Linked DNA regions of Macaca fascicularis. The protein of the gene in region 7 purifies or fractionates together with the protein of the main gene of each other region. This does not show direct contact. Links are inferred from orthologs where the notes say so. Each region holds a gene or a part of one and is shown on either strand. Other genes may lie near its edges.

Region 1 (4,252 bases), on a different chromosome or scaffold from region 7:
GCAAAAAGGGTCAAGTCAAAGGGCAAATGACTAAAAATGACAGCACCCTTGGTCTATTTTAAGTCTTGTACTAAACTGGTTATTCATTTTGTTCATATTTAAGAGAAATTACATCCTGGAATCCTTGAGGAATAAGAAATCCACTACAGAAGGTTACAATCAACTAACTGATACTTTGAAATAGTCTATGCTTGTCCCTAATAAAAAATATTTTGACTATTACCCGTAAGTCCTCTGGTAACGTTCAGAATTTCATATATAACAGAATTCATGCTTTAAAACAGTCCCACATTCTAGAGTGAAGAGGTCAAATCAGATCCCAAAGTCTTCTCATAGTCCTTTTGCAGATCTCAATTCCTTTTCCTTTCTTCTCTTTTTTCTTTGAGACAAAGTCTCGCTCTGTCGCCCAGGTCGGAGTGCAGTGGCATGATCTCGGCTCACTGCAGACTCTGCGTCCTGAGTTCCTACGATTCTCATGTCAGCCTCCTGAATAGCTAGGATTACAGGCACTTGCCACCACGCCCGGCTAATTTTTGTATTTTTAGTAAAGATGAGGTTTCACCATTTTGGTCAGGCTGGTCTCAAACTCCTGACCTCAGGTGATCAGCCCACCTTGGCCTCCCAAAGTGCTGGGATTACAGGCATGAGCCACAGTGCCCGGCCAGATCTCATTTCTTAACACAGAAGGTGGTATAGACAGAAGTACACAGTCCAGCCTTACTAAGCATACCCCCTTCCAGTTGTCCGTTGTTTCACCTGCTAAACTTCCACCCATTTTTGATTCAGTACCAAAAATTATGCAGATTCAATTGTTTTATACTTTAACCAGACAACTCAAGGCATATTTTATATAGTTCAGAAAAATGCTGTTATCTGGTAACCAGAAGGCATTATTCATGTGTCTAGGAACACTAACCTCATCTTGCCCTACAGAATCCAACCAGCTTTTCAAACTCTGACTGATACACTCTTAACAATTAGTGGACTGAAAGATACCACACTGACTGACCTTCCTTTTCCTTAGTTTATAATCATTTAATTCTTCTTCATCTGTGATCTTCTGTTGAGGTGGAGGTGGAAGAAGCTCAAGTTCTCTTTCTTTAGCCTCTCTTAAGAGTTGTTCAGCAGTTATCTGTACCTCAGCCGGGGCTTTGTTTTTCACCTTTTAAGAACAAGACATTTCTATTTTTAGTAGATGCTCTTCACACAAGGTTTAAGAAACAAACATACATTTTTTAGGATATGAACTTCATTAGTATTATCACAAGATGCTCTCTTTGTATGACATGTTCCCATCCTCCATGAGACTAAAAAGAAAAAAAAATACTATGTTTTCTCTCTTATTCATGGTATCTACTACAAAGCCACAGGTAAAAGTCTCAAGAGAAAAAGGTGGCAAAAATAATACCAAGTTTTCCCTTTTAGATGAGTATAATAATAAACTTTGAGGCTGTGTAGGTAAAATTCTGACCAGAGGGTTTATCAAGATGTGTAGCACATCTTATTAATAGCATTACCACCTGCATTCGCAGAATTCTTCAACTTATTTAATGCCCCTGGTGGAAAAGTGGGTATGGTTTTTCACGGAACCTCAAGTCAAAGGCACTATTCAATAAGTTCCCATCATTAGACTGTAAGTTTCTTGAGGTCTTAGAAGTTTACAGTCTAACGTAGCTTAGAGCTGTGCTGTCCAACACAGTAGCTATGAGTCACATGTGGTGAGCACAAATTGAGGTGGACTGTAAATGTAAAATACACACTGGTTTTGAAGATGAAGTATGAAAAAAAGAACAAACTATCTCACAGTTTTTATACCGATTACATGTTGAAATTATAATATTTTGGATACATTAGTTCAAATAAAATATATATTATCAAAATTAATGTCACTTTTTTTGCTTTGCTTTTACTTTTTAATGTAGATAGGAGAAAATTTAAAATTTCATGTGCTGTGCACTGTATTTCCATTGGACCGGTGATGCCCAATAAAAGTGTACGTAGCTGAATTATAAAAATTGTTATTTAATGCCACGTGTGGAGTAATGATAATGGTGATAGCTCATATTTAATAAGCACTAAGTGCCAGACACACTGTTACTTGCTCTACATGCATTACTTTTGCGAGTCAGACAAATAGTTACGTAAAGGTCCAGTTCAAGAGAGTCATCTGGGCTCAAGAAAGACTGGAGGGAGGATATCTGTAAAGGCTTCAGACAAATTCTGACACATATTAAGCACTTCGTAAGTATCAGCTATCGAGGGAAATACCAGTTAGTAAATCTACTGTTTAATTAACTTATGATACTATACTACTACTGCCGTCTATTCTCACCCTCCGCTGTCAGCTGGGCTAACTCCTATTCAGTCTTCAAGTCTCAGCTTAAAGGTCATTTCCTCAGCAAAATTTACTCTCAGGAACCCTTCATACGACCCCCTTATTCACGCCCATGGCATATTCTACTTTGCCTCTCAGTAACATCTGGCAAGATCGTCCTCATACACACACTCGTGTTTTGAGTACTGCTTCTGGCCAGCGTCCGAGCGTAGCTTCCCAGCGCCCAGTGCAGTGCCTGGGTCAGTAAATCTTCACTGAACCACTCCACTCCTCCTCCCTGCAAAACCACCCCATCGTGCTCCGCGATGACAAGAGCCCGCGCCCCACCACCAGCTGACCCTTCCTCTCCATCTCTCAGGGTGGGCCCTCTCCCCGGCGGGAACACTGTCTCCCGCCCGGGGCACCCCCAGGGCTGAGGGATGCCCCTCTCCTGGGCCACCTCCCACAAGGCCCCTCGCGATCGCCTACCTTGGCCACTTTGGGAATCCGCTGTTTCCCGGCCGCGGTGGAGGCCGCCATGTCTGCAGCAGCGGACCTCGGGGCACCTGTCCCCCGCACGAAAGCTAGAAATCCGCGGTCTGAGAGCTCACCGAAACCACAAAGATTTCCGACAACAAACAGGATCCCGGAATCGGAAGCGGAACTCGCCAGGCTGACCTTTGACCTCTCGCATGCGCCGTGACGGACGTGGCACCGTTTCCATGGGGACCAGGCTGCGCGTCCTCCTTACAGCAGCGCGCGGAGTGCGGCGTCCTGGAGCTGCGCGTGAGGTGGGTAGCGCCGGCCTGACTAGCAGCGACGCGAGGACTGCGATTCAGGGCGTCAAGGGCGTATCCCCAGGTCAGCCTCCAGAACTGGGATGACCAGGCAAGGAAGAGAGGCTCTGTCTAGCCGTGGCGCCCTGCAAGGGAGTAGGGTCGAAGCTCCAATCTGGATGCTCGAGGGGCGGGGGAACGAAGGGAGAGCGAGGAAACTACCATTCCCAGTATGCGAAGGGGCGAGCTGCCGCCCTTTTAGGCTGTCTGGCTCTGCATTGCATTCTAGGTCTTGTAGTCTCTGGGTCCACGCCCCCTCGTTTCTGGTTTCTGGACAGTTGTGCCCAAATAATTAACTCTAAGGCTTGGAATTAAAAATAACAGAAGGTACTTAGAAGCCAGATATTAGGACAAAATGAAAGTAAAAAATAGAGTAACTAGAAAACAACTCAGTCTTGTGATAAGAAATATGTTTAAATTCTGTGTGTGCCTTAATTACTCAAATTTTCTTAGCCTCAGTGTCCTCAACTATAAAACAAGGGTAATACCATCTGTTTCACTAGGATTAAAGACAAATGCTCAGTAAATGTAGCTATTATAATACTTAACCTGCCCTCAAAAACGGAAAAATTAAGCAAAAGTTAAAAGAATTTTTTTAATAGACAAATTTTTAGAGAAGTTTTAGGTTCACAACAAAATTAAGTGGAAGGCACAGAGATTTCCCCCCTCAACAGCTTCCTGCCATCAATTATTATACCTCTTCCCCACTTTAACAGCCTCCAACTCTCAAAAATATCCTCCACCAGAGCGGTACATTTGTTACAATCATGAACCTACATTGACACATCATTATCACTCAAAGTTCGTAGTTCATGTTGGGGTTCACTCTTGGTGCTGTACATTCTATGAGTTTGGACAAATGTACAATGACACGACTTGGCAGCACATTTGTTAGAATAATTTTCATAGTTGCAAGGCTCTTTTGGTTTTTGGGGAAAATATATATTGTGTATGTAGTAATATCACGTCTACCAATGCAGCTATTGCTTTCAAAAAAAGATTGATGCAGATTTCTAGAACTGCAGTTATAACCAACATCAGTATTTTTGCCATAACTCTTTATTAACCATATTATTTAGATATTTGATCTCACTTTTCAAAA
Region 2 (3,208 bases), on a different chromosome or scaffold from region 7:
TTCTAGAACAGTCAACACCCCGAACCTAAATTGGGTTCTGCTCAAGCCCGAAAAGGTTTGCCCCTGTAACAAGCCTGGGTTGACATCTGCAAGTATGACATTAAGGTCAGAATACTGGCTGCAGGCAAGAAAGCCAAACCGTTAATGTGAAGCAGCGAAAAGTAAGGCCACACTCACCCATAGTGATGTTCACGGCTCTTCACGTGTCAGGTCCCCAACCATGAGGGCTCCCTCTGAGCTACCCAAATCATCTCACCAGCTGAACAGCCTTCCAAACAGCATCACAGAGAACACTGCAGGAAGAACACGTGGGACAGCAAAGGTTCTTGCTGCTGTCAACAGCCAGCGCTTGAATTTAATTCAGAAGTCTAGTAAAAAGTTTGTTTTGTGTAAAAAAGAGACGGAGGGGAACTTACATTTTAAAAGATGTAAGAGGCTTACGAACCAATAATTTACAGGGAGGAGAGCTGATATTTATAGGAAGGTGGAAATTTGAGTGGACAGTTGACATTAAGGGATTACCACTAATGTTTCTAGGAGTGAAGGCCTTTCAGTCCTGAGACACCTGCCACAACATTACTGGACGAGCACAATGACATCTGGAACATGCCTCAATATAACAGAAGGTGGAAGGGAGACAGACATAAAGGAAAAGGGGCTGGGAGTTGAGGAATGCTGGAAGCTGAATGGTAGGCACACAGGAGTTTATTTTACTGTTCTGTCTACTTTTTAATCGGTTATATTAAAAAATGTTAAGTTAAAAAAATATAGAAAAGCCCGACTGATGCACAAAAACTTACTTACACAACAGATAAATGAGGAGTTGATTCCTATGACATACACAAGGATTCCCTGACATCTTTCTCCAGAGTGTCTTAATAAAGTAAGCTTCCCCTACTGAACTGGCAATGCTGTTTTCAAAGCAATAAATATTTGATAAAGATGTGAGGTAAAAAAGCTCAAAAGCTCCAGTGTCAAACTGCTATAAACTGAATTGTATAAAAACTGAAGACACATCACAGCTGAAATAATTTAAATCAAAGTGACAATGGGATTTGACTTACAGAAGCTCTATTTACACATCTATTAGGTAAAGCAAGGTACACCCACTTCAAAACACATCTGTATGTGAATGCACATCTGAGTACCATTCAGCAAGAAGTTTTGAAGAGAACTTCAGTTTAATAAAGCTAAATGGGGAGAATTGAAGTTTGCATTTGACATGGTATTAAACAAAACCAAAGGGCTGAACTCATGTTTAGACAACACAGGTCACTAGTCACTAGGCAAAGAAAACAGTCCACAGCAGGTGGCACAAATAATTCCTATACAAAACAAATGTTGCAAATATTCTGCTTTTAGGAAACATGAAATAATGGCTGACATGTCATTTACAAATACATAATATAAAAATGCACAGCCCCCTTGAACAAAAATCCAGTAAATGTTTTATAGATGACTTCCCTCAGACCCACCCCCGTAATAGGCCATTCTGGTGAATTACTAGCATCTGCCATTTCATCTTTTAAAATTAAAAGAATGACGGGCACATGTGCTGTGCAGTGTAGAAGAGAAGTGTCATACAAAAAGGGGCCGGAGCTGGCCAGAAACATTTGGACAACTGCATCTCAAAAACCGTGTTCTTGTTTCGCTTCTGTGCCTCAGTCTTTAAGATACAAACGTATCTTGGGACACCACATCCTGGGCCCAGGGAGCCTGCAGAGTGGTCACTTTTCTGCCACTGCCCTCAATATGAGGGAGCACTGAAAGGCTCTTGACTTAGAACCCCTTCCCCCTTTCTGTCTAAAGCAGAGGAGCCATCTGTGGTTGCGAGCGGGCAGCACACCAGGCCTGTCCATCCCCAGTGCACCGCGGGGTGGTGGGAGGTCCGCCGGGCCAGAGTGAAGTAAGGCATTTCCTGTCTCCCAGAGTCCCGTTCACTTTCTCAGAAACAGCTTGGCAAAATCAGCATTGGACATCTTGGGTGCCTCGGTGGCCGCTGAGGCGGCAACTGCAGGAGCCGCGGCAGGGCCATTCTCGGCCTGAGGAGCTGCAGCACTTGGGCGCTGCAGGGCACGAGGCAGTAGAGACAGCTGCGTCCTTCCCTTCCCCCTCCTAGAAAAGCAAACACTGAATGGACCTTTTGAAGCAACAATTTGTGGCCCCTCATTTATTTGTAAAAATAAGCCAAGATAGTTTTAAATATAACCAGAAGCTAAAAGGGGGAAAAGAAAAAGGATGAGATAATCCCTGCCTCCTTAATTCTGGCTGTTAAGTAAAAACTGCTTCGACAGACTTGGCCTTGTTCAGTTTTGGCAAAGATCAACCCTGAGCACCAGTCGCACTCAGAGGGGATCAGTGTGACTATCACCTCTCAGACCTCGCCAGTCACCCGGCAATTCTGCTATCTCCTCCTCATCCCTAGCAGGCAAAAAGCACAGCTTATGTGGATCATATAGCTAGGGCTGTAGACTGGCACACACGTGGGTATAAGATTTCGTTTTAAACATAGCTCCAACTGGCAAAGGGGACTTGAAAATAATCACTGCCTTTAGTTTTGTCTGAAATAAATGACAAGTGTAAATTGGCCAGTACCAGGCAGAGGTCACTGCCTAGGCTTGCATCCTGCTCTGGACGCCTTGCTCCAGTGGAACCACAGTGATTACCACAAGGAACAGCACGTCTTGGCTTTTCTGTCCTAACAGGAAGCTAATTCATGCCGGGTTAATCCCCCCATGGTCCATGAACTGGTGCCAGCCAGGACGAAGTTTGCACTAGTCTACCATGCAAGCACTTACGCTCCGTATGTCTGCGGCAAAAGCATGGGGCCACCTGGTGCCTTCCTGGTCTCCGGCTTCTCTGGAACCTTCCTCTGAGGAGGGTTGCTGATTGCCACTTTGATGACGTTCTCTTTGATAGTCATGCCGTCCATCTTCATCACAGCCTGCGACGCCTGGGATTCATTTTCATACTCCACATAGGCCAGGCCCTGGAAGAGGCAAGATTCAGAACCAAGTCAGATCCCACAGACCAGGGACGTAACCTCCTCCCACAGGGCAGGCACTGGGCTTCCTCCCTGAGACCAGCAGACCAGGCCACAGCAAATGACCAACCAACAGGTTACCTTCCCCACCACTGCATCCTCTGTCTACAGGCTTATTTCCCCACCCTACTCTCCTTCCCAACTGCTGCTACGCACTGTAACTTC
Region 3 (3,780 bases), on a different chromosome or scaffold from region 7:
AAAATAAAAAGATGAATGTTACAGCCCACAATTCAAAGTATGTAGGTTAAAGACTCTGAATCAGAACTGAACTCAGGCATACTAATCTTATCTTTCAGATTCTTAAACTCTTCCTCCACCCATCAAAAAAGTAGATCTACTACAGACATGTTCAAATGAAAGGTGAGGACTCAGGAGGAATGAAGGACTTGCCTTTTCATTTTCATCAGGCTTTTCACTCTGCCCATTTCCATATACTTGAGCATACAGCCTCCAGATTTCTCCATCATTTGTCACTCTTGAAGTCACTCTGCCAAATAACTCCTGCAGCTTTCCTTTGAGGCCAGTTGTGACATCTCCACTTCGATCAGTCATCCCATTAATCACTGCCCTGACTAGAATTTTAAGAACCTTAAAAATGCACAGGAGAAACTGGTAAGCTAGAAACCAACAAACAATAACAAAAACAAAGAGCTACCTCACCATCATCAAAGACAATGACAATGAAAAACCTTGTGAAATTTGTTAAGAGTATCACCTTTAAGCTTTTGAAAAACAAAATAAAATTCAATCCTGAAGCACTCTCTAGGATCTCAAGCTGACTACCTCTCTGGATGTCCCTTCAAAAGCTTCTGGAGAGGGTTCTTTCATTCAAAGGGCCCCATGTTCGGTGCTTGGCTCTTCTCACCTGGAACATTCTCTCTGAGTGACTGGAGGCTTCACTAGTGTCTATGCAACTCCAGCCAGATTCCCCTCTGGAGCTCCAGGACTGTGCACCTCAATACCTACCAGACAGGTCATACCGACATCCCTCTCCATCTATCCAAGGTGAAACATAGATCTCAAATCGCTCTTCTTCCTGGAATCTCTAGGTGAGCCTATCCACACAGTTCCCAGAGCCAATAACCTGAGCATCAACCTAGATTCTCTTGCACTTCTGCCACAACTACTAATTTGATTTTCAACATTCCTAATGTTGATTTGTTTTGGTTTTCAACATTTTCTTTCATGCTCCCCATGTGCATGTTCAATGGCCAGTGAAATAGCTGTTGTCCTAAATAGAACAACATTGAAAACAACGTTGAAAACAATCCTAAATACAGCTTCTCCTACCTTAGTTTAGGCCTCATTAACTTCAATCTGGGCTGCTATAATAACCTTTCTAACTCTGCTTAAAGAAGTCCTCAGCCCCTCCTAATTACTAAATGACAAACTGCTAATACATGTGCATGCGAAGTATCTAGTAAGTGTCTCTTTTTCCAACTACCTCAAGTTAGCTCACCATTTTTTTTTTTTTTTGATGGAGTCTTGCTCTATTGCCCAGGCTGGAGTGCAGTGGTACGATCTCAGCTCACCACAACCTCCGCTTCCCGGGCTCAAGTGATTCTCCTGCCTCAATCTCGACTACAGGTGTGCACCACCATGCCTGGCTAATTTTTGTATTTTTAGTAGAGACGGGGTTTCACTATGTTGGCCAGGCTGATCTTGAACTCCTGACCTCGTGACCTGCCCGCCTTGGCCTCTCAAAGTGCTGGGATTACAGGCGTGAGCCACCGCGCCCAGCCTAACTTCTTGGCTATCTTATTATCATCTGTTAGTCTTTACACATTCTATCCCAGATGCTTTGAATGCTGACAGATGGATTAAACTGCAGCCTGCAGCAGGTTATATTATAAAAAGGCACATCTATCATATCTACATTAGGCTGTGTACCTGAAGGCACAGAAAACACAACCTCAATCTTCCACTCCTTTGATGGTGGGACAGCAAAAGAACCAGCTTGAGGAAAGTACTGTAACACCATGCTAGTCAGCGCAGTCCATGGACTGACAGCACCGGCATCAGAGCTTGTTAGAAATGCAAAATCCTGGATAAAAATGCTGATCCATCTTGGACCAAGATTCTGCATTTCCAGTAAGCTCCCAGGTGATGCTGATGTTGACGGTCTGTACAGCACACTTCAAGAAGCAAGATTCCAAGAGACAGCTGCCCGCATCTTTATTTTTACCGTGAACTGTGGGGAGAGGATGGCATTTTATCATTTTGTATCACCATTGTTTAATATACTGCCTGGCATATGGCAATTGCCCTGACTCAATAAATGCTTGTGCCGGAAAGTGTAGCTAAGAGAAATGCAACCAGTGTGAGATCTTGCTGTCTCCTCCTAGGACATTCTGATCTGTGTATGAGATGTGGCTGAGGAGTAGAGGCTCCTCTGGAACGTGGATACTTTTAGGAATGTGAACTCAGACTCATGGTCCTAATTATCTATAGTGATAAAAGAAGACAGAAAATTCAGTTGTGCTTTTTTTTTCCTGTTTGGACAAGGTACATTATCTCTGTCTGTAAATTCACATTACAATCCCACATGTGTACTTTTAAATCTGAAAGTAACGAAAATCATATTACAATCCCATTGGTGTTTTAAATCTGAAAGTAACAATGCAGAAGAAACAGTCTGAATGTGTACTACTTGCTTCAAGTGGTCATTCTATAAGCATGTCAGGTATTAACATGTTTTGAAAAAGATGGTCTATTAAAATAGTTACTAATATGTAAAAATGAAACACAATAATGAGTGATACTTTGCTTCTTCTGGAATCCCACAGTTGGTTCAACATCCCATCCCTTCACTTTAGCCTACTGGGGAGACGATGTGGGGAGAGAAAGCTTTTGGTGTTCTTGCCAATAAAAATGAAGAGCTGTAGTGCTGGCGTTAAAGATGGAAAAAGTTGGTCAAGTGGGTGTGTGCCTCCTCTGTGTATGCGTGTGTGTTTGCAGGGGCATGAAGGGAACTGCAAAAGGGCAGGGAGGTGAAGCATCTGTCTGTTGTAGGGGGTAGACAGGGGATGAAACTGTAGGTAGGGCAGATACTGAATGCCTCTGCCCAGTTCATATGCAGATGTCCCCCGAAGAGAGAGGAACAGGGGCAATGACCAATTTGTTTCATGCTCCCCATCTGCAAGTTCAATGGCCAGTGACATAGCTGGGCCTGGAGCTTAGAAGAGTTCCACACTGGAGGAATAGATAATGAGAGTCATTGAGGGTCATGGCAGATATTGCCTAAAGAGACTGTGTTGGGCAAGAATAAGGCTGAGGATAGAATCTTAAAGAACACAACACTTAAGAAGAGGGCAAGTAGGCTGGGCGTTGTGGCTCACACCTGTAATCCCAGCACTTTGGGAGGCAGAGGCAGGCGGATCACCTGAGGTCAGGAGTTCAAGACCAGTCTGGCCAACATGGTGAAACCATCTCTACTAAAAATACAAAAAAATTAGCCGTGTGTGGTGGTGGGTGCCTATAATCCCAGCTACTCGGGAGGCTGAGGCAGGAGAATCACTTGAACCCAGGAGGCGGAGGTTGCAGTGAGCTGAGATTGCGTCACTGCACTCCAGCCTGGATAACAACAGCGAAACTCTGTCTCCAAAAAAAAAAAAAAAAAAAAGGGCAAGTAGAGAACTCACTCATCAAACTAAAGGAGTGGTCAGAAAGGTAACAAAGTGATGTCATGCAAACCAAGGAAGGAGAAAGTTACAAGGAAAGTACATCCACGAAGGATCAGGAATGGAAGATTCCAGTGGATTTGGCAATCATAAGGGTGAGTGACCATAATCCAGAACCAAAGCCAGAACAAGAAAGGCAGGAGAGATCATGACTTCAGACAAGAGGCTTAAAAAGAAAGAGAAAAACATAAAAACCAAGATGATTATTAACATCACAAAAAAATGAAGAGAAGCCCCCCATAATCATAGTATCCTATAATACTAATTTTGAATATCATTTGCATAGGCATTTAGTGTA
Region 4 (3,780 bases), on a different chromosome or scaffold from region 7:
TTTTTTGAGACAGTCTCACTGTGTTGCCCGGGATGGACTGCAGTGGCGTGATCTCAGCTTACTACAGCCTTCGTCGCCTCCCTGGTTCAAGCGATTCTCTTGTCTTAGCCTCCTGAGTAGCTGGACCATGCCCAGCTAATTTTTTGTGTATTTTTAGTAGAGACGATGTTTTGCTATGTTGGTCGGCTGGTCTCGAACTCCTGGTTGCAAGTGATCCGCCTGCCTCCGCCTCCCAAAATGCTGGGATTACAGCTGTGAGCCACTGCGCCCAGCACCCTTTTTTTTTTTTTTGAGATGGAGTCTCGCTCTGTTGCCCAGGCTGGAGTGACACGATCTCCACTCACTGCAAGCTCCGCCCCCCGGGTTCATGCCATTCTCCTGCCTCAGCCTCCCGAGTAGCTGGGACTACAGGCGCCTGCCGCCACGCCCGGCTAATTTTTTTGTATTTTTATTAGAGATGGGGTTTCACAGTATTCGCTAGGATGGTCTCCATCTCCTGATCTCGTGATCCGCCCGCCTTGGCCTCCCAAAGTGCTGAGATTACAAGCATGAGACACCGCGCCCGGCCAGCCTTTTTTGTCTTGTTTACTGCCAAATCCCCAACAACTATAGTATTTCCAGGCACATAGTAGATGCTTAAGAGTTACCTATTTACGGCCGGGTGCAGTGGCTCAAGCCTGTAATCCCAGCACTTTGGGAGGCCGAGATGGGCGGATCATGAGGTCAGGAGATCGAGACCATCCTGGCGAACACGGTGAAACCCCGTCTTTACTAAAAGGTACAAAAAAACTAGCTGGGCGAGGTGGCAGGCGCCTGTAGTCCCAGCTACTCAGGAGGCTGAGGCAGGAGAATGGCGTAAACCTGGGAGGCGGAGCTTGCAGTGAGCTGAGATCTGGCCACTGCACTCCAGCCTACGCGACAGAGCGAGACTCCGTCTAAAAAAAAAAAAAAGAGTTACCTATTTACAAAAGCACAAACATCGGCAAAAAAAAAAAAGAATTACTTTTGAATGAATGAGAGTTAGCTGGTGCAGGAAAAAAAAAAAAAAAAAAAGCCAGTGCAAATTGAGAGACCTGGCCATAGAAAATTACAACGCTCAGGGATGTGGTATGGCAAGGAACTTTTTTGTTTTTTTTTTGAGGCAGAGTCTCGCTTTATTGCCCCAGCTGGAGTGCAGTGGCACGATCTTGGCTCACTGCAACCTCCGCCTCCCAGGTTCAAGTGATTCCCCTGCCTCAGCCTCCTGAGTAGCTGGGACTGCAGGCGCACACCTCCACACTCTGGTAATTTTGTATTTTTAGTAGAGATGGGGTTTTGCCATGTTGACCAGGCTGATCTCGAACTCCTGACCTCAGGTGATCCGTCTGCCTTAGCCTCCCAAATTGCTGGGATTACAGGTGTGATCCACCGAGCCCAGCCTGGCAAGCAACTTTGAGGAGTGGGTGGGGAGAACACCGAGATGGAGTTGTTTTCAGATATTTCCATTCGTCCCAGATAGCGATTCCCTTAAATTGTGGCTCAAGCTTCTGCTTTCTAAAACATCCCTTAGGCCAGGCATGGTGGCTGACGCCTGTAATGGCAGCACTTTGGGAGGCTGAGGCAGGTAGATCACCTGAGGTCAGGAGTTCGAGACCAGCCTGGCCAACATAGTGAAACCCCGTCTCTACTAAAAGTACAAAAGACTAGCTGGGCGTGGTGGTGTGTGTCTGTAGTCCCAGCTACTTGGGAGGCTGAAGCAGGAGAATCGCTTGAACCCGGGAGGCGGAGGTTGCAGTGAGCCAAGATGGCACCACTGCACTCCAGTTTGAGCACCAAGAGTGACACTCTGTCTCAAAAAAAAAATCTGATACTTTATTTCTCTAGCTTCTGGCAACACCCACACCGTCTTCCTGAAAAGGTAGCACTCGGGGTTCGGGGAAGGAGCCTGGTAGTTCGAGTGCCTGGGGTGAGAGGTGAAGTCTGCCTTGGCCCTTTGCCACTTTGACACCTCCCTTTTTCTGTGTCTCGAGTTCTGTTTTGCTTCCATTGGCAAAACAGTAATAAATAAATATCAGTGTCCAGCACTGTGTCTGGGCCATAGTATGTGCTCAGTAAATTTTATGCCTAGTGTTCCATTATTGGAATGCTAAGCTTGTGGGAGTTATTTACATCCTGCTCAGGGTCATCGCCAGGGTCTGATTTTTCGCACGTCTGCAGTTCAAACAATTGCAACCTCTGGGTTAATGTTACTCCTTTTCTCATACTCTCCCAGAATGTGACAGGGCTTCTGAGGGGAGCCCTATGCCATGGAAGAACCAGCAGAGTGTCCTTAAGGCCCCGGCAGGAGTCAGGGTCGTTATGTGCTGGGGCCGCCATATTTGGTGAAAAGGACTTATTCCCAGGCCTCACTCAGCAGGATCACTATGGAATTGGTTTCTCAGGAGATTCCTGGCTCTTTTCTTTGGAGATTGTTATTCCTTAGTCGCCAGGTAGGACAGTTTGCCTCACAGCGAGGCTGGAGTGAGGATCTAATCTGATGCTCGTCACTTCCTGGGTTCCTTTTAGAGACACAGGGCACAGACGGGAAAGCAGAGCTTACTTAGCTTTTGCTCTTCTGGCTCTCATTCGCAGCCCTGGGGTGGCTTGGTCTCAGGTTTTCCTGTGGGCTGTAGTTGCAGTCTGTGTCCAGTGGGTGGCAGTGTGGCCCTGCCTACAGGAAGGACCTTTCCCTCCCTTTCAGGATAGGATCCCTCCTTCAGGTACCCCCAGTTCAAACACCCTGACCCACTCCACTTACTCTTTTGATGGGTCCTGGGGGCATCAGCTGCATTTCCAGGGAGGCCCAGTTGGGCTGTTACTGTTTGGATCACCTTGCATCTGGGAGCGATGGGGCCCTTAGGGTTTATGTAGGTCTGAAATGGCAGTTGGGCCTGCCACATCCTGTCAGCTTGAAGTCAGCCTTACCTCCTCCCCTCAGCAGCCTGGATTATCTCTCAGCCACTCTGATAAAGCCCACTGTGCCTCAGAGAAACAGGTTCAGAGAGGGGCGTGCCTGAGGTTGCCAGGTCACCACCCATGTTCCTCCAGCTAGGGGCCTCTCTCAGTGCCACTGTTTTCTTCTTGGCCTCTGCCCATCGTATTTGTTTTCCTACCTGAGACCATGGACACCTTCAACTTACAAAATTCCCTTCTTCCTGCACAGGGGACCCTCACAATGATCCCAATGCTCAGGGTGATGCCTTCAAGACTCTCTTCGTGGCGAGAGTGGTAAGTCCCCAGTTCCTAGCTCCTGGAACCCCACGCTGCTGAGAGCCTGGGTCTGGCCCAAAGGGCAGATAGGCTAGGTACTGGGGAATGTTCCAGGAGCTGTGGGACAGCTCTGTTCTCCCATTTAACGTCATACTCATCTCCTTGTAGAACTATGACACAACAGAATCCAAGCTCCGGAGAGAGTTTGAGGTGTACGGACCCATCAAAAGAGTAAGTGGAGTGGGATCAGGGTGTTTGAATTGGGGGTGCATGGAGGAGGGGCCGTATCCTAAAAGGGAGGGAGAGAGGTCCCAGCCCTGAGCATGGCTCACAGCATTTCAGGGCCTGGGTTTGTGCATCCTGACTGTATTTCCATGCAGCAGACCTTGGGTAGCAGAAGTAAAATGAGAAGTAATGACTGCTGGTGGTTGATTGAGAGCAGGGGTTGGCAAACCGCAGACTCACTGCTTGTAATAAAGTCTTCCTGCTGCGCAGCCAGGCAGGTCTGTCTGTTTACACATTGTCTTTGGCTGCTACTGGTTGTAAGGCAGG
Region 5 (4,314 bases), about 64 Mb from region 7:
GTAAGTAGTGTTTTGTGGGTTTTTTCCACTTCAATTATTGAAATTCTATTCAAAGAAACAGTTCAAATGCCACCACCTCCTTCAAGCTTTCCTAGCTCCTCAATTTCTCATTCCCCTATCCTACTAGAGCTTTTTGCACCTTTATCAGTGTTTAATTTTGTCTTAAATAGTAGTTAACTGGCTGGGTGCAGTGGCTCACACCTGTAATTCCAGCACTTTGGGAGGGCAAGGTGGGCAGATCACGAGGTCAGGAGATCGACACCATCCTGGCTAACACAGTGAAACCCCATCTCTACTAAAAATACAAAAAATTAGCCAGGTGTGGTGGCACGCACCTGTAGTCCCAGCTACTCAGGAGGCTGAGGCAGGAGAATCACCTGAATCCAGGAGGCAGAGGTTGCAGTGAGCTGAGATTGCACCACTGCGCTTTAGCCTGGGCGACGGAGCAAAACTCTGTCTCAAAATAAATAAATAAATAAATAAACAAACAAACAAATAGTAGTTAACTGTACTAATTACCATCACCAACTATAGTTTATAAGCAATAAATAACAGACTAGAGCATCAGGGCTCTGGAGTTGGAAGACTTAGATTCAAATTCTAACTTTGCCACTAACAACTATGTAACTTCAGGTAAGTTGCTTCATCTCTCCAAACCTGACTTTTATTCCTCAACTGGAAAATGGAATGAATAATCCTCACTGAATAAATGTTTATGAGGATTACAAAAAACACCCTGTGTAAAGAATTTACCAGAGTCCCAGGCTCAATAAACAGCTAGCATTATTTTTTGCCATCCTTGATCATGAGAACCCTGTGTTCCATGCATCTGCTTCTTCCCTTCACTTCTTTTATGATACTAAATTTAATTTTAAAATAATACCAAAAAGTGGCAAGAACAGTACAAATAACTTTCTTTTCCCCAAATATTTGACAGTAAGCTGCTGACACAATGCCTCTTCAGCTCCTAATACTTTAGGGCAAGAATTCACAAACTCTGACCTGTGGCCAAATCTGGCCCCTCCACCTGTTTTTGCATGGTCCTCCAGCTAAGAATGCATTTTACTTTTTTATTTTTTTGAGACAGAGTCCCATTCTGTTGCCCAGGCTGGAGTGCAGTGGCACCATCTTGACTCACTGCAACCTCCACCTCACAGGTTCAAGCGGTTCTCCTGCCTCAACCTCCCAAGTAGCTGGGATTACAGGCACCCACCACCTCAGTTGGCTAATTTTTGTATTTTTAGTAGAGATGGGGTTTCACCACATTGGCCAGGCTAGTTTCGAATTCCTGACCTCAGGTGATTCGCCCGCCTCGGCCTCCCAAAGTGCTGAGATTACAGCTGTGAGCCACCGCACCCAGCTGCATTTTACATTTTTAAATAGTTGAGAAAAAAGTACCAATGCTAACACAGTCAACAGCCAAGACAGCACCTTGCATAAGTAGAAACTGGATAAATGTTAACTGAATGGGATGTTTAATTTTAAGATGCTGATATTTCTTGGATTAGACTGATACCTCCACCTCCCTCAATGCCATCTGCTGGGTGCTGAATGTAGAGAGAGAATCGGAGCTCCAAGGACCAATAACTAAATGTAAATTATTATGGAAACTTTCACATGCATACAGATTCTTTTTACTTCCAAAAAGCTATTATCGCATTTATGCTTATCTCATTCTCCCAAGACCCCAGTCAAGTGCTTGAAGAAATTATTTATCTATTTATTTTATATATATTTTTTGAGACAGAGTTTTGCTCTTGTTGCCCAGGCTGGAGTACAACGGGACGATCTTGGTTCACTGCAACCTCCGCCTCCTGGGTTCAAGAGATTCTCCTGCCTCAGACTCCCGAGTAGCTGGGACTACAGGCGTGCACCATTACGCCCGGCTAATTTTTTTGTATTTTTAGTAGAGGGGGGGGTTTCACCATTTTGGCCAGGCTGGTCTCGAACTCCTGACCTCGGGTGATCCGCCCGAGTCTGCCTCCCAAAGTGCTAGGATTACAGGCGTGAGCCACCGCGCCCGGCCGATTGAAAAAAATTTTATATAAAGCTGTTCATGGAACAAGCCAAGTTCAGTTCTGCCTCAGGGCCACTGCACTTGCCATTCTCTTTGTCCAAAACGCTCTTCCCTTTGATATTTTCACCTTGTCCCTTTATTTCAATCAAGTCTCCACTAAAATGTCACCTTCTCTGTCACTCTAAAAAGTCCCCCATACATACTCTCCAACTTCCCACTTTCACTGTTTTATTGTTATTCACAAATGTTATACATTTATCACTAGCTGACTTCTATCTAGTTGTTTACCGTTCATTTCCCCAACTACAGTTTAAGCAAGGGCTTGTTTTGTTTACTTAGAACAGTGCCTAGCGTAGACTAAGCCCTCAATACGTATTTATCGAACTAATGAGTGACTCTAACATGGTACAGAGAATATAGCTGATTTGCCCACAGTTACACAAAACTAGCGACTCATGGTTACAAACCTCACTGCTGCTTCCCGCTACAATGCAGGCGCTCAAAGGGAACGTCGGAGGGAACTTGGCAGAGAACGGCTGAAGGCGGCACAGATGGAAAAGGGAATGAGCGACGGGACTGGACAGTTAGAGCAACACTCCTTTCTAGGGATACGATTTTACGGACTGAGGCTATAGAGGCAGCCCCGAAATCGAGGTGTGTGCGTGCGTGCGCGCTTCGAAAGCTTTGGGGAGGCACGCGGAGGAGAGGACCTTCCATTATTTTTTCCGCTCCAGGCCTCAATTTACCCATCCGTAAAGCAAAAGGGGCAGATAGCATATAAGGCCTCTTCCAGATCTGACGCTCTTTAATTTCCTATCCCACCTGGAGCAAGCATTCCTTGCCGCTAACCCGCTTCAACTTACCTCCCGCCTGCTCAGCTAAGAGTTCTGAGGCCGCCGCCGGAGAACGCGCTTCCGCCCCACGCCAAAGAAACGTCTGCGCCCGCCGCCAGGAAGGACCCCGCAGACACCGCTGTCGCCTTTCTGCCCGGGAGGACAACCCTCCGCCTGAGGACCAGTTCCGAGGTATGCCCTCGCGGAGACAGGAACTGGCAAGGCGGAGTAGCCGGTCCCCAAGACGAGTAGCCCAAGACGTGGGCTGCTCCAAAGAGGGTGAGACCTGAGGATGAACGAATCTGATCAGGCGCCTCGGGACTACCCTGAAATGGGGGGGGCCTTCCGGCAGATCACGTGGCCAGGCTGTTAGCGCAGTTGCTGGGCAACCACAGCTGCGGGAGTGGTCTGCGCGGGGCTGCTCTCATGTTGACTTATCAGGGGATCTCCAAAGAAAACAAGGGGACCAAGGACGGGGCTGCTGGGGTGAAGGTCCAGGAGGCTGAGTAAGGGGACAGAAGGGTTAGTAAATGCCTGGGGAGGGCTGAGAACTGGACACTTGAGTTCGGTTACTGGCCAGCCCAGCCCCTTCTTGGCGTTCAGATTCCCCACGTTGGGGTAGGGTGGCTGTGGGATTGGTTGGGGACCTCCTGCTTCCTTGCGCTAGGGCTGTTGGTGATGACCCCGCCACAAAATCTAACTCAACTCACTAGGAGTTTGCAGTTCAGAGAGGTCCCACAACAAGTAAATGCCAGAGCCACGACTAGAACCCACGTAGAGAATCTCTCTGCAGATGGCTCACGCCTGTAATCCCAGCACTTTGGGAGGCCGAGGCGCGCGGATCACTTGAGGTCGGGAGTTCGAGACCAGCCTGGCCAACATGATGAAACCCCGTCTCTCCTAAAAATACAAAAATTAGGCGGGCGTGGTGGTGCACGCCTATAGTCCCAGCTCCTCGGGAGGCTGAGGCACGAAAATTGCTTGAACTCCGGAGGCAGAGGTTGCAATGAGCCGAGATCATGCCACTGCACTCCAGCCTGGGTAACAGAGCAAGACCCTGTCTAAAAAAAAGAAAAGAATATCTCTGTAGAAATCAGTCAGCCTCAGATACGCAGAAGCTACAGAAGTACAGTGGTAGAACTAAAGACATTGCCCAGGTACCTAGGGACCTCTGTTCCAGCCCTGGGCTGGACAGAGGGATTTGGGATCGGGTCATTGAGCTCCTTCCTCTGCCCCTTCTGCTTGATTTCCTGCTCAGTCATTGCGTGTGGTTTGGGTGAAAGTCTCCTTCTTCACTAAAGACATTCAATGAAGAATGAAACTTTATCCCTGAGCTCAAAGGTACCTAACAAGAGTTCTGCTTTTGTGTGAGGTCCCCTGTTGAAACGACTTGCTGTAGAACAATCCTATGGGGGAAGAGTGAAGAAACTGAATTCTGAGATCCAAATGCCTCCTCGACTGAAG
Region 6 (3,169 bases), on a different chromosome or scaffold from region 7:
AGTAACTGTGGTTCTCTGACGGCCGTGAGAGTTCCGTGAGAATGTGACTACAAGTGTGATTGGTAAACTGGAGAGCTGTGTCCCAGGACACATGATTTTCTTATGTCCTGCTGGGCTGCCAGCCTCACCACTCACATCTGAGTAGTAAGGTGCTACCATCTTCTAAGTGGTATGGTTTCTTTCTCTCCATAGTGCTAAAATTAAAAATATAATTTCCACGGAGGATGCCAAGGCCCGTCTGCTGGCAGAGCAGCAGAACAAGAAGAAAGACAGCGAGACCTCCTTCGTGCCTACCAACATGGCCGTGAATTACGTGCAGCACAACAGATGTAAGCCCCTCAGGGAGAGCGGTCTTGTCCCCTTTCCCTTATTTGGGCTGAGGTCCCTAGGAACCTCATGTTCCGTCTAATGTGTCCCCTGGTCTCTTTGGGTCCAGTTTATCATGAAGAGCTCAACGCACCCATCCGGAGAAACAAAGAAGAGCCCAAGGCCCGGCCCTTGAGAGTAGGCGACACGGAGAAGCCAGAGCCTGAGCGTGAGTGCAACAAAGGCCCCGGGGCTGCCTGGAGTGCTCAGCTCTGTGGGGGCCCATGGAGGCAGGGTGCAGCGGGGGACAGTGTGGAGGTTGGCACTGAAGCTGGGGCATCTGGGTTCCAGTCCATGCTCTGGACCATGACTATGTGCCTTCCCCTTTCTAAGCCTCAGTTTCCTCATGGGAATCCTAATAGAACCTACCTGTGTTAGGATTGCTCTGAGAATTCAGTATCAAGCATACAATCTCATATTCTCAAGCACAGTAGAGACTCAAGAAGTCAGAAAATTTCAGTAAGGACAAATAAAAGCTACTCATAAGGTTAGCTGAGTGCAGTGCCTCACACTTGTAGTCTCAGCTGCTGGGGAAGCTGGGGCAGGAGGATCGCTTGAGACTGAGAGTTCAAGGCTGCAGTGAGCTATGATTGGACGACTACACTCTAGCCTGTGTGACAGAGTGAGACCACATCTTTTTTTTTTAAAGAAAAGAAAAAGGTATTGGCCAGGCTCGGTGGCCTACGCCTATAATCCCAGCACTTTGGGAGCTAAGGCAGGCAGATCACCTAAGGTCAGGAGTTCAAGACCAGCCTGGCTAACATGGTGAAACCCCGTCTCTACTAAAAATACAAAAATTAGCCAGGCATCGTGGCAGGTGCCTGTAATCCCAGCTACTCAGGAGGCTGAGGCAAGAGAATCGCTTGAACCCGGGAGTTGGAGGTTGCAGTGAGCTTAGATCATGCCATTACACTCTAGCCTGGGCAACAGGGTGAGACTCCATCTCAAAATAAGAAGAAAAAGACAAATAAGTGTCTACGGAGGCCCTACTATGTTCACTGGGTTAGGCGCTGGGGCTCCTGTGGGGAAGGAAACAGGCAGTTGTCTTTGCCTACCTGGAGTAAAGTCTAGCAGTGGGTTCCAGCATGGCAAGCCACCTTTCCTGTTCTTTTCCTTCTCAGGGTCCCCTCCTAACCGCAAGCGTCCTGCTAACGAGAAGGCAACTGATGACTATCATTATGAGAAGTTCAAGAAAATGAATAGGCGGTACTGAGCTGTGCAGAGTGGGATGTAAATAGCGCCTTCCTCTCCCTATATCCCTCCCGTGAAACATGGCTTCCTGGCCGGGCATGGTGGCTCAGGCCTGTAATCCCAGCACTTTGGGAGGCAGAGGTGGGCGGATCACCTGAGGTCGGGAGTTTGAGACCAGCCTGACAAACATGGAGAAACCCTGTCTCTACTAAAAACACAAAAAAGTTAGCCGGGCATGGTGGCACATGCCTGTAATCCCAGCTACTCGGGAAGCTGAGGCAGAAAAATCACTTGAACCCGAGAGGCAGAGGTTGCGGTGAGCCGAGATTGCACCATTGCACTCTAGCCTGGGCAACAAGAGCAAAACTGTCTCAAAAAAAAAGAAAAGAAAAAGGGCTTCCTGGACAGAGCATGCTCATTTGCTAGCGAACAGTTCCAGAAACAGACCCTATTGGTCCTTCTGCTTACCTGCTGGATTTTTCAGGCACTAAATTTATAACTTTTTGAAACAAAACAATGTGTAATTTTCCATTTGGGGGCAAACTCTATTCTTGTGAGCATTATTAAATCTTGTTTGTAAATATATTGTCTTTTAATATTTGCTCTGGGTCAGGAAGAAACTGTTCACGGTGTGATAATACCCTTTAGATTGTGCTTTCATTATTATAGATGCATCGTGTCTTCTGCTTTCACGTATCTGGGATGGGGTCAGACATGCATCCTCCATTGATTAGAGTGGGTCCAACTGACAGAAAAATCTAGGATGAGATCAGAAGGATACTGGTGTTTTCTGACTTTTACAAAATTACTTGTTTGTTTTCATTTAAAAAAAAGCATAAACTATGTTTCTTATTACTATTAGAATTGAATTATTAAATTTCAAAATGAATCTAACCATATTGTTTGTATTATGTTTCCTTATACCAACATCAGGTAATGTTTTCAAAGCCCATGGTTTGGGTAGCTAAATGTAAAATTGAATTACTGAGATGGATTTTCTCATTTATTTCAAATGTCATAGACGTGCTGCAACCTGCTAACTGTCAAGTACCTTCTTACCTGTGCCCTCATTTTTCCTGAGGCATCCACATGGTCCGGAAGAGGAAAGAGCAGATTGGCTGACTTACGGGCGGAGTTAGAGCAAGTATTGTGGTTATGGTGGTTTGGCCCAGGAGTCACATCTGAGCCCAGCTCACAGCTTACTAATTGTGTCCTTGGACAGATCCTTTTCACTCTTAGCCTCAGTTTTCTCATCTGTAAAGTGGAGACTTTTTTGTCCTCCTCCACTTGAATGTGGTCAGTGAAGGCAGGAACCATGTATGCCTAATTTTTAAATTTGAAACCCCAGGGCATAGCCCACAATCTGACACATAGGCAGCCCTCAAAACTGTGAATGATCCCTATAGTGTCTGGCTTGTAACAAATGCACAAAAGTATTATTTGAAATCCAATATGAAAAGTTGAACCTTAAAAAATATTTTCAGGATATTTCAACTAGCATTTAACAGGTCCCAACGATGTACAGGCGTAACCCAAGATGAATACTAAAGGCCTAGCACATCTGGCACACAGCAACGCAACACGTGTTTATGGGATGAACAGGCAAATAAGT
Region 7 (4,453 bases):
AAGGCAAGAACATCACACAACCATTTCTACCCACTGCCCCCAACCACCACCACCATTGCCCACCATATTTCAGCCTTTCTCACCCCCATTGGGAGATGTAGACAGGTTCAATAACCCAGGGAATCTCATTGACGAAGGAAATGGCTCCAGTGATGTGGTACAGCACAGGCACATCCCGAATCTGCTCCCAAGGCATAGGCATGTTCTCCAGGAGTTTGAGGACTGCGTGGGGCATGTACTTTAGGGCACTGGCACATTAGAAAAAGAGAAGGCTATTAGAAATGACGAGGTGTTCTGCTACCTGTCCCATGCAGAGAAGCCACACATTCATGTTCCACAGTAAATCCTACCTTACAATCCAAACTCCCAGACTTAGCCCATAGGCCCTTCCTAACCAGAAACCCTGCCTCTCCCTCTCCAACTTCATCTTGCAGCACTCTTCTTTTTTTTTTTTTTTTTTGAGACGGAGTCTCGCTCTGTCGCCCAAGCTGGAGTGCAGTGGCCGGATCTCAGCTCACTGCAAGCTCCGCCGCCCGAGTTTACACCATTCTCCTGCCTCAGCCTCCCGAGTAGCTGGGACTACAGGCGCCTGCCACCTCGCCCGGCTAGTTTTTTTTTTTTGTATTTTTTAGTAGAGACGGGGTTTCACCGTGTTAGCCAGGATGGTCTTGATCTCCTGACCTCGTGATCCGCCCGTCTCGGCCTCCCAAAGTGCTGGGATTACAGGCTTGAGCCACCGCGCCCAGCCTCAGCACTCTTCTTAAATGTCATAGTCCCACAATGCTGGTATCAGCTCCTCTAAATCAACAGCTATCCCTCTGGAGACAGCTTTGCGGCTGTCTCACATCCTATTCCCTCAGTATCTTCTCATAAATCATAATAAAGTATTCACCATACTTCACTATCACCAGTTGTCTCATGTCTGTCATGCCACTAGACTGCACACTGCAGAAAGGCGGAGATTGTTACCCTCTGCTCGCTACTATACCCCAAGCAGCCAGCACAGTTCTCAAACTATTTTTTGAAATAAACAAAACTTCCAGTTCATTACACGGCAAACGTTTTTGTGTCCAAATAGAGCAGGAATCTGCTAAGACATCTGTACCTGTACCCACCCAGTTTACAGCCACAGAAAAACAGCAGTAGGGATACCTCTGAAATTAAATACCCTAAACACAGAATTCAGGTCCCTGAGGAGTGACAGGCTGCCACTATGCACAGTCTCCCACTCTGGGCTTCAAACAGCTCAACGACAGGGATATCTTATAACAGCATCAACAGGACAAATTAAAGTCCCAGGCCCAGATCAGGAACAGAAGGGAAACAGACTGCGTAAGTGGAAGATGTAGAAATTATCAGAGACTCCTACTGGTTTTCTCCTTTCTCTTATATCCACCAAGATGAGCTGTCAAAGCAGCGTCCTGTTCCAAAATGACAGAGCATCTATCCAAGACTGTGGGACAGGGAAAAGGGAAAAGAACCAAATTCCAAATGAAGTTATTTCAGGATGTTCCTTACCCCAAGTAAACCCTTTTGTCATGGCGGAACTTTCTGTTGGTCATGTCTCCATGGTCTCGAATGATCTTCCTGACATGTTCCGGGGGCATGTCTTCCTTCTGGGCATCCACAAACCCAAACTTCCGCTTTTCTGCATAGCGCTTCGCCTGCAATTGCTGCCATTTTCGGGCTACAAAGGCACCTCAGTTTAAAGGACTGCACACCCTCAGCCTAATCCTCTTCACCTCTTGCCCTAGGGTAAGCTCCTGTCAGTGAGTGTGACAGAGGAGCAGGCATCCAGCAGGAAGCAACACTCCTTGCCAATTCCCTTACCACTTTACTATGTTTTTCCCTTCATCACATTTATTACTATCTGACTTTTTTTTTTTTTTTTGAGACGTTGTTTTGCTCTGTTACCCAGGTTGGAGGGCAATGGAGCGATCTCGGCTCACTACAACCTCCGCCTCCCGGGTTCAAGCCATTCTCCTGCCTCAGCCTCCCCAGTAGCTGGGATTATAGACACGCGCCACCACACACGACTAATTTTTGTATATTTAGTAGAGATGGGGTTTCACAATGTTGGCCAGGCTGGTCTCGAACTCCTGACCTCAGGTGATCCGCCCGCCTGGGTCTCCCAAAGTGCTGGGATCACAGGTGTGAGCCACTGCGCCCGGCCTGACATTTTTATTACAGATCCTCAAGGTTTTGTTACTGTCTTTCTCTCCCGCTGTAATTTAAACCCCGTAAGGACAGGAATTTTGTCTCCATCACTACTGGATCAGCGCTTGCAGATAACACGCGCTTAAAATGACTTGATAAAAAGTTAAATGGGGCTAACAAGGGAGTTGTCACCTCGGGAGCTGCCCAAACGGGGAGGGTCCCCAGCCACCTGCGCGCGCGAACACCCGCCCCGCCTCCGGCTCGCGCGCCGCTCCACACTCGACTCACCTTTCTCCTGCAGCTTCTCCTCCGACATGTAGTCCGGTAGCGGGGCTAGAGGGCCGGGCACCGGGTTACCCGGCCCTCGGTAAGGAAATACTCCGGCCATACCCGGAGAATCTGGACAGCGGCGGGACAGAAAAATTCACTAACCACAGGCCCGGGCCCACAAGAAGCGCAGCAGAAAGGCGTCCGGGGACCCCGGCCTGCAATCCCGCCACACTGAGTGCATCCAGCCCCGCCCGGCCTAACCCCTTCGGTCACTCAGCCCGACCCGACCACGCCTCCCGCAGCCCGGCCTTAAACGCCTGCCACGCACCCCACAACCCCTCACACAGGGGGCCGCTTTCTCCGAAGCGCAATGGCGGCCAGTGTGCGTCCGCTCCGCGTTCCCAGCGCCGGAAAGTGCGCAACCCGACTTCAGCAGTTGATCCAATCGGCGCCGAGGTGCTCAGATGGATTGGTAAGATGGCCAATTAGAGTGGCACACTGCGCCGAGGAGGCGGGCCCACAGGCGGAAAGGCTTTGAATACAAGGGGGTGTGGTCGGGGAAGCCCCGCCTCCCACGTTTCCGAGGCTGTTCCTGAGGCACCCGACAGACCTCAGTGTGTGATAGGCTCCCGGCGTCGCCCTGCGAGAGACCGAAGTCTGGAAGCTTTTAATAAATTTGCCAAGATTGCGCATTGTACGATGTCTGTTGTCATCAATGTATACGTGCAATGCAGTACTAGCTCCAGGACGGTCATTTGTTCATGCATTCATTCTTTTTTTTTTTTTTTTTTTTTTTTTTTTGAGACGGAGTCTCACTCTGTCGCCCAGGCTGGAGTGCAGTGGCCGGATCTCAGCTCACTGCAAGCTCCGCCTCCCGGGTTCACGCCATTCTCCTGCCTCAGCCTCCCAAGTAGCTGGGACTACAGGCGCCCGCCGCCTCGCCCGGCTAGTTTTTTGTATTTTTTAGTAGAGACGGGGTTTCACCGTGTTAGCCAGGATGGTCTCGATCTCCTGACCTCGTGATCCGCCCGTCTCGGCCTCCCAAAGTGCTGGGATTACAGGCTTGAGCCACCGCGCCCGGCCGCATTCATTCATTTAACCATTCTTTATTGAGTGCCCACTGTCTACCGAGGACGAGGGATAAAGCAGGAAAAAAGACAACCAGTAGGGTTCACAGGGGAGCAGAAAGAATCAAGCTCATTGGGGGGGGGGGGCGGTAGCTCACGCCTGGAATCGCAGCCCTTTGGGAGGTTGAGGCGGGCGGATCGCTTAAGGCCAGGAGTCCAAGGCCAGCCTGGCCAACATGGTGAAACCGCGTCTCTACTAAAAGTACAAAAATTAGCTGGGCGTGGTGGCATGCACCTGTAGTTCCAGCTACTCGGGAGGCTGAGACAGGAGAATCGCTTGAACCCGGGAGGCGGAGGTTGCAGTGAGCCGAGATCGCGCCACTGAACTCCAGCCTGGGTTACAGAGCGAGACTCCGTCTCGGAAAAAACAAACAAACAAAAAGTCTGAAATTCCCACCAAGTTTATTGGGGAGGATGCAGAGGAATTGTAACCCATACAGCCCCTCAATCTAGTTGAGAATTTACAAATCAAAGTGAAATAATTAGAAAAAAAAATGCAAAGGATGTCAATGTGCTTTCAGAACGGTAAAAATTTTAAAACAATTCCTTTTGTTTTCTTTTTTAGACAGGGTCTCACTCTGTTGCCCAGACTGGAGTGCAATGGTGCGATCTCAGTTCACCACAACCTCCACCTCCCAGGCTCAAGCGATTCCCCTGCCTCAGCCTCCAGAGTAGCTGGATTACAGGCAGGTGCCACTACTGCTAGCTAAATTTTGTATTTTTAGTAGAGACAGCGTTTCACTATGTTGGCCAGGCTGGTCTCAAACTCCTGACCTCACGAAATCCTTCTGACTCGGCCCTCCCAAAGTGCCGGGATTACAGGCGTGAGCCACCATGCCTGGCCTAAAAACTATTTTTAATGCAATGGGGAGTTTGGGCAAGGGCTGGCTAAGTGACTT

Evidence for each region.
Region 1: the proteins of PRPF8 (region 7) and CRNKL1 fractionate together in Homo sapiens (co-fractionation; 3 studies listed by BioGRID, with this or other methods). This does not show direct contact. The link is inferred for Macaca fascicularis from reciprocal best matches to the Homo sapiens genes PRPF8 and CRNKL1.
Region 2: the proteins of PRPF8 (region 7) and SART3 purify together in Homo sapiens (affinity purification with mass spectrometry; 4 studies listed by BioGRID, with this or other methods). This does not show direct contact. The link is inferred for Macaca fascicularis from reciprocal best matches to the Homo sapiens genes PRPF8 and SART3.
Region 3: the proteins of PRPF8 (region 7) and TTC27 purify together in Homo sapiens (affinity purification with mass spectrometry; 3 studies listed by BioGRID and IntAct, with this or other methods). This does not show direct contact. The link is inferred for Macaca fascicularis from reciprocal best matches to the Homo sapiens genes PRPF8 and TTC27.
Region 4: the proteins of PRPF8 (region 7) and SNRNP70 fractionate together in Homo sapiens (co-fractionation; 3 studies listed by BioGRID, with this or other methods). This does not show direct contact. The link is inferred for Macaca fascicularis from reciprocal best matches to the Homo sapiens genes PRPF8 and SNRNP70.
Region 5: the proteins of PRPF8 (region 7) and EFTUD2 purify together in Homo sapiens (affinity purification with mass spectrometry; 9 studies listed by BioGRID and IntAct, with this or other methods). This does not show direct contact. The link is inferred for Macaca fascicularis from reciprocal best matches to the Homo sapiens genes PRPF8 and EFTUD2.
Region 6: the proteins of PRPF8 (region 7) and C15H9orf78 purify together in Homo sapiens (affinity purification with mass spectrometry; 4 studies listed by BioGRID and IntAct, with this or other methods). This does not show direct contact. The link is inferred for Macaca fascicularis from reciprocal best matches to the Homo sapiens genes PRPF8 and C9orf78.

The regions. Positions count from the first base shown.
Region 1 is NC_088384.1:67,252,902-67,257,153, reverse strand, and holds the start of CRNKL1 (crooked neck-like protein 1), read right to left. Parts: upstream 2,969-4,252; 5' UTR 2,855-2,968; coding exon 2,804-2,854; intron 1,163-2,803; coding exon 1,010-1,162; intron 1-1,009. UniProt on the Homo sapiens protein: Involved in pre-mRNA splicing process. As a component of the minor spliceosome, involved in the splicing of U12-type introns in pre-mRNAs.
Region 2 is NC_088385.1:115,358,218-115,361,425, forward strand, and holds the end of SART3 (squamous cell carcinoma antigen recognized by T-cells 3), read right to left. Parts: intron 2,990-3,208; coding exon 2,799-2,989; intron 2,116-2,798; coding exon 1,938-2,115; 3' UTR 688-1,937; downstream 1-687. UniProt on the Homo sapiens protein: U6 snRNP-binding protein that functions as a recycling factor of the splicing machinery. Promotes the initial reassembly of U4 and U6 snRNPs following their ejection from the spliceosome during its maturation.
Region 3 is NC_088387.1:89,391,413-89,395,192, forward strand, and holds part of TTC27 (tetratricopeptide repeat protein 27), read right to left. Parts: intron 391-3,780; coding exon 193-390; intron 1-192.
Region 4 is NC_088393.1:57,072,700-57,076,479, forward strand, and holds part of SNRNP70 (U1 small nuclear ribonucleoprotein 70 kDa), read left to right. Parts: intron 1-3,181; coding exon 3,182-3,246; intron 3,247-3,396; coding exon 3,397-3,459; intron 3,460-3,780. UniProt on the Homo sapiens protein: Component of the spliceosomal U1 snRNP, which is essential for recognition of the pre-mRNA 5' splice-site and the subsequent assembly of the spliceosome. SNRNP70 binds to the loop I region of U1-snRNA.
Region 5 is NC_088390.1:65,951,787-65,956,100, forward strand, and holds the start of EFTUD2 (116 kDa U5 small nuclear ribonucleoprotein component), read right to left. Parts: upstream 2,958-4,314; 5' UTR 2,881-2,957; intron 2,554-2,880; 5' UTR 2,485-2,553; intron 458-2,484; exon of another isoform or gene 454-457; 5' UTR 336-453; intron 1-335. UniProt on the Homo sapiens protein: Required for pre-mRNA splicing as component of the spliceosome, including pre-catalytic, catalytic and post-catalytic spliceosomal complexes. Component of the U5 snRNP and the U4/U6-U5 tri-snRNP complex, a building block of the spliceosome.
Region 6 is NC_088389.1:14,078,851-14,082,019, forward strand, and holds the end of C15H9orf78 (splicing factor C9orf78 homolog), read left to right. Parts: intron 1-192; coding exon 193-329; intron 330-436; coding exon 437-535; intron 536-1,487; coding exon 1,488-1,579; 3' UTR 1,580-2,451; downstream 2,452-3,169. UniProt on the Homo sapiens protein: Plays a role in pre-mRNA splicing by promoting usage of the upstream 3'-splice site at alternative NAGNAG splice sites; these are sites featuring alternative acceptor motifs separated by only a few nucleotides. May also modulate exon inclusion events.
Region 7 is NC_088390.1:1,807,115-1,811,567, forward strand, and holds the start of PRPF8 (pre-mRNA-processing-splicing factor 8), read right to left. Parts: upstream 2,837-4,453; 5' UTR 2,756-2,836; intron 2,557-2,755; 5' UTR 2,546-2,556; coding exon 2,446-2,545; intron 1,688-2,445; coding exon 1,519-1,687; intron 249-1,518; coding exon 84-248; intron 1-83. UniProt on the Homo sapiens protein: Plays a role in pre-mRNA splicing as core component of precatalytic, catalytic and postcatalytic spliceosomal complexes, both of the predominant U2-type spliceosome and the minor U12-type spliceosome.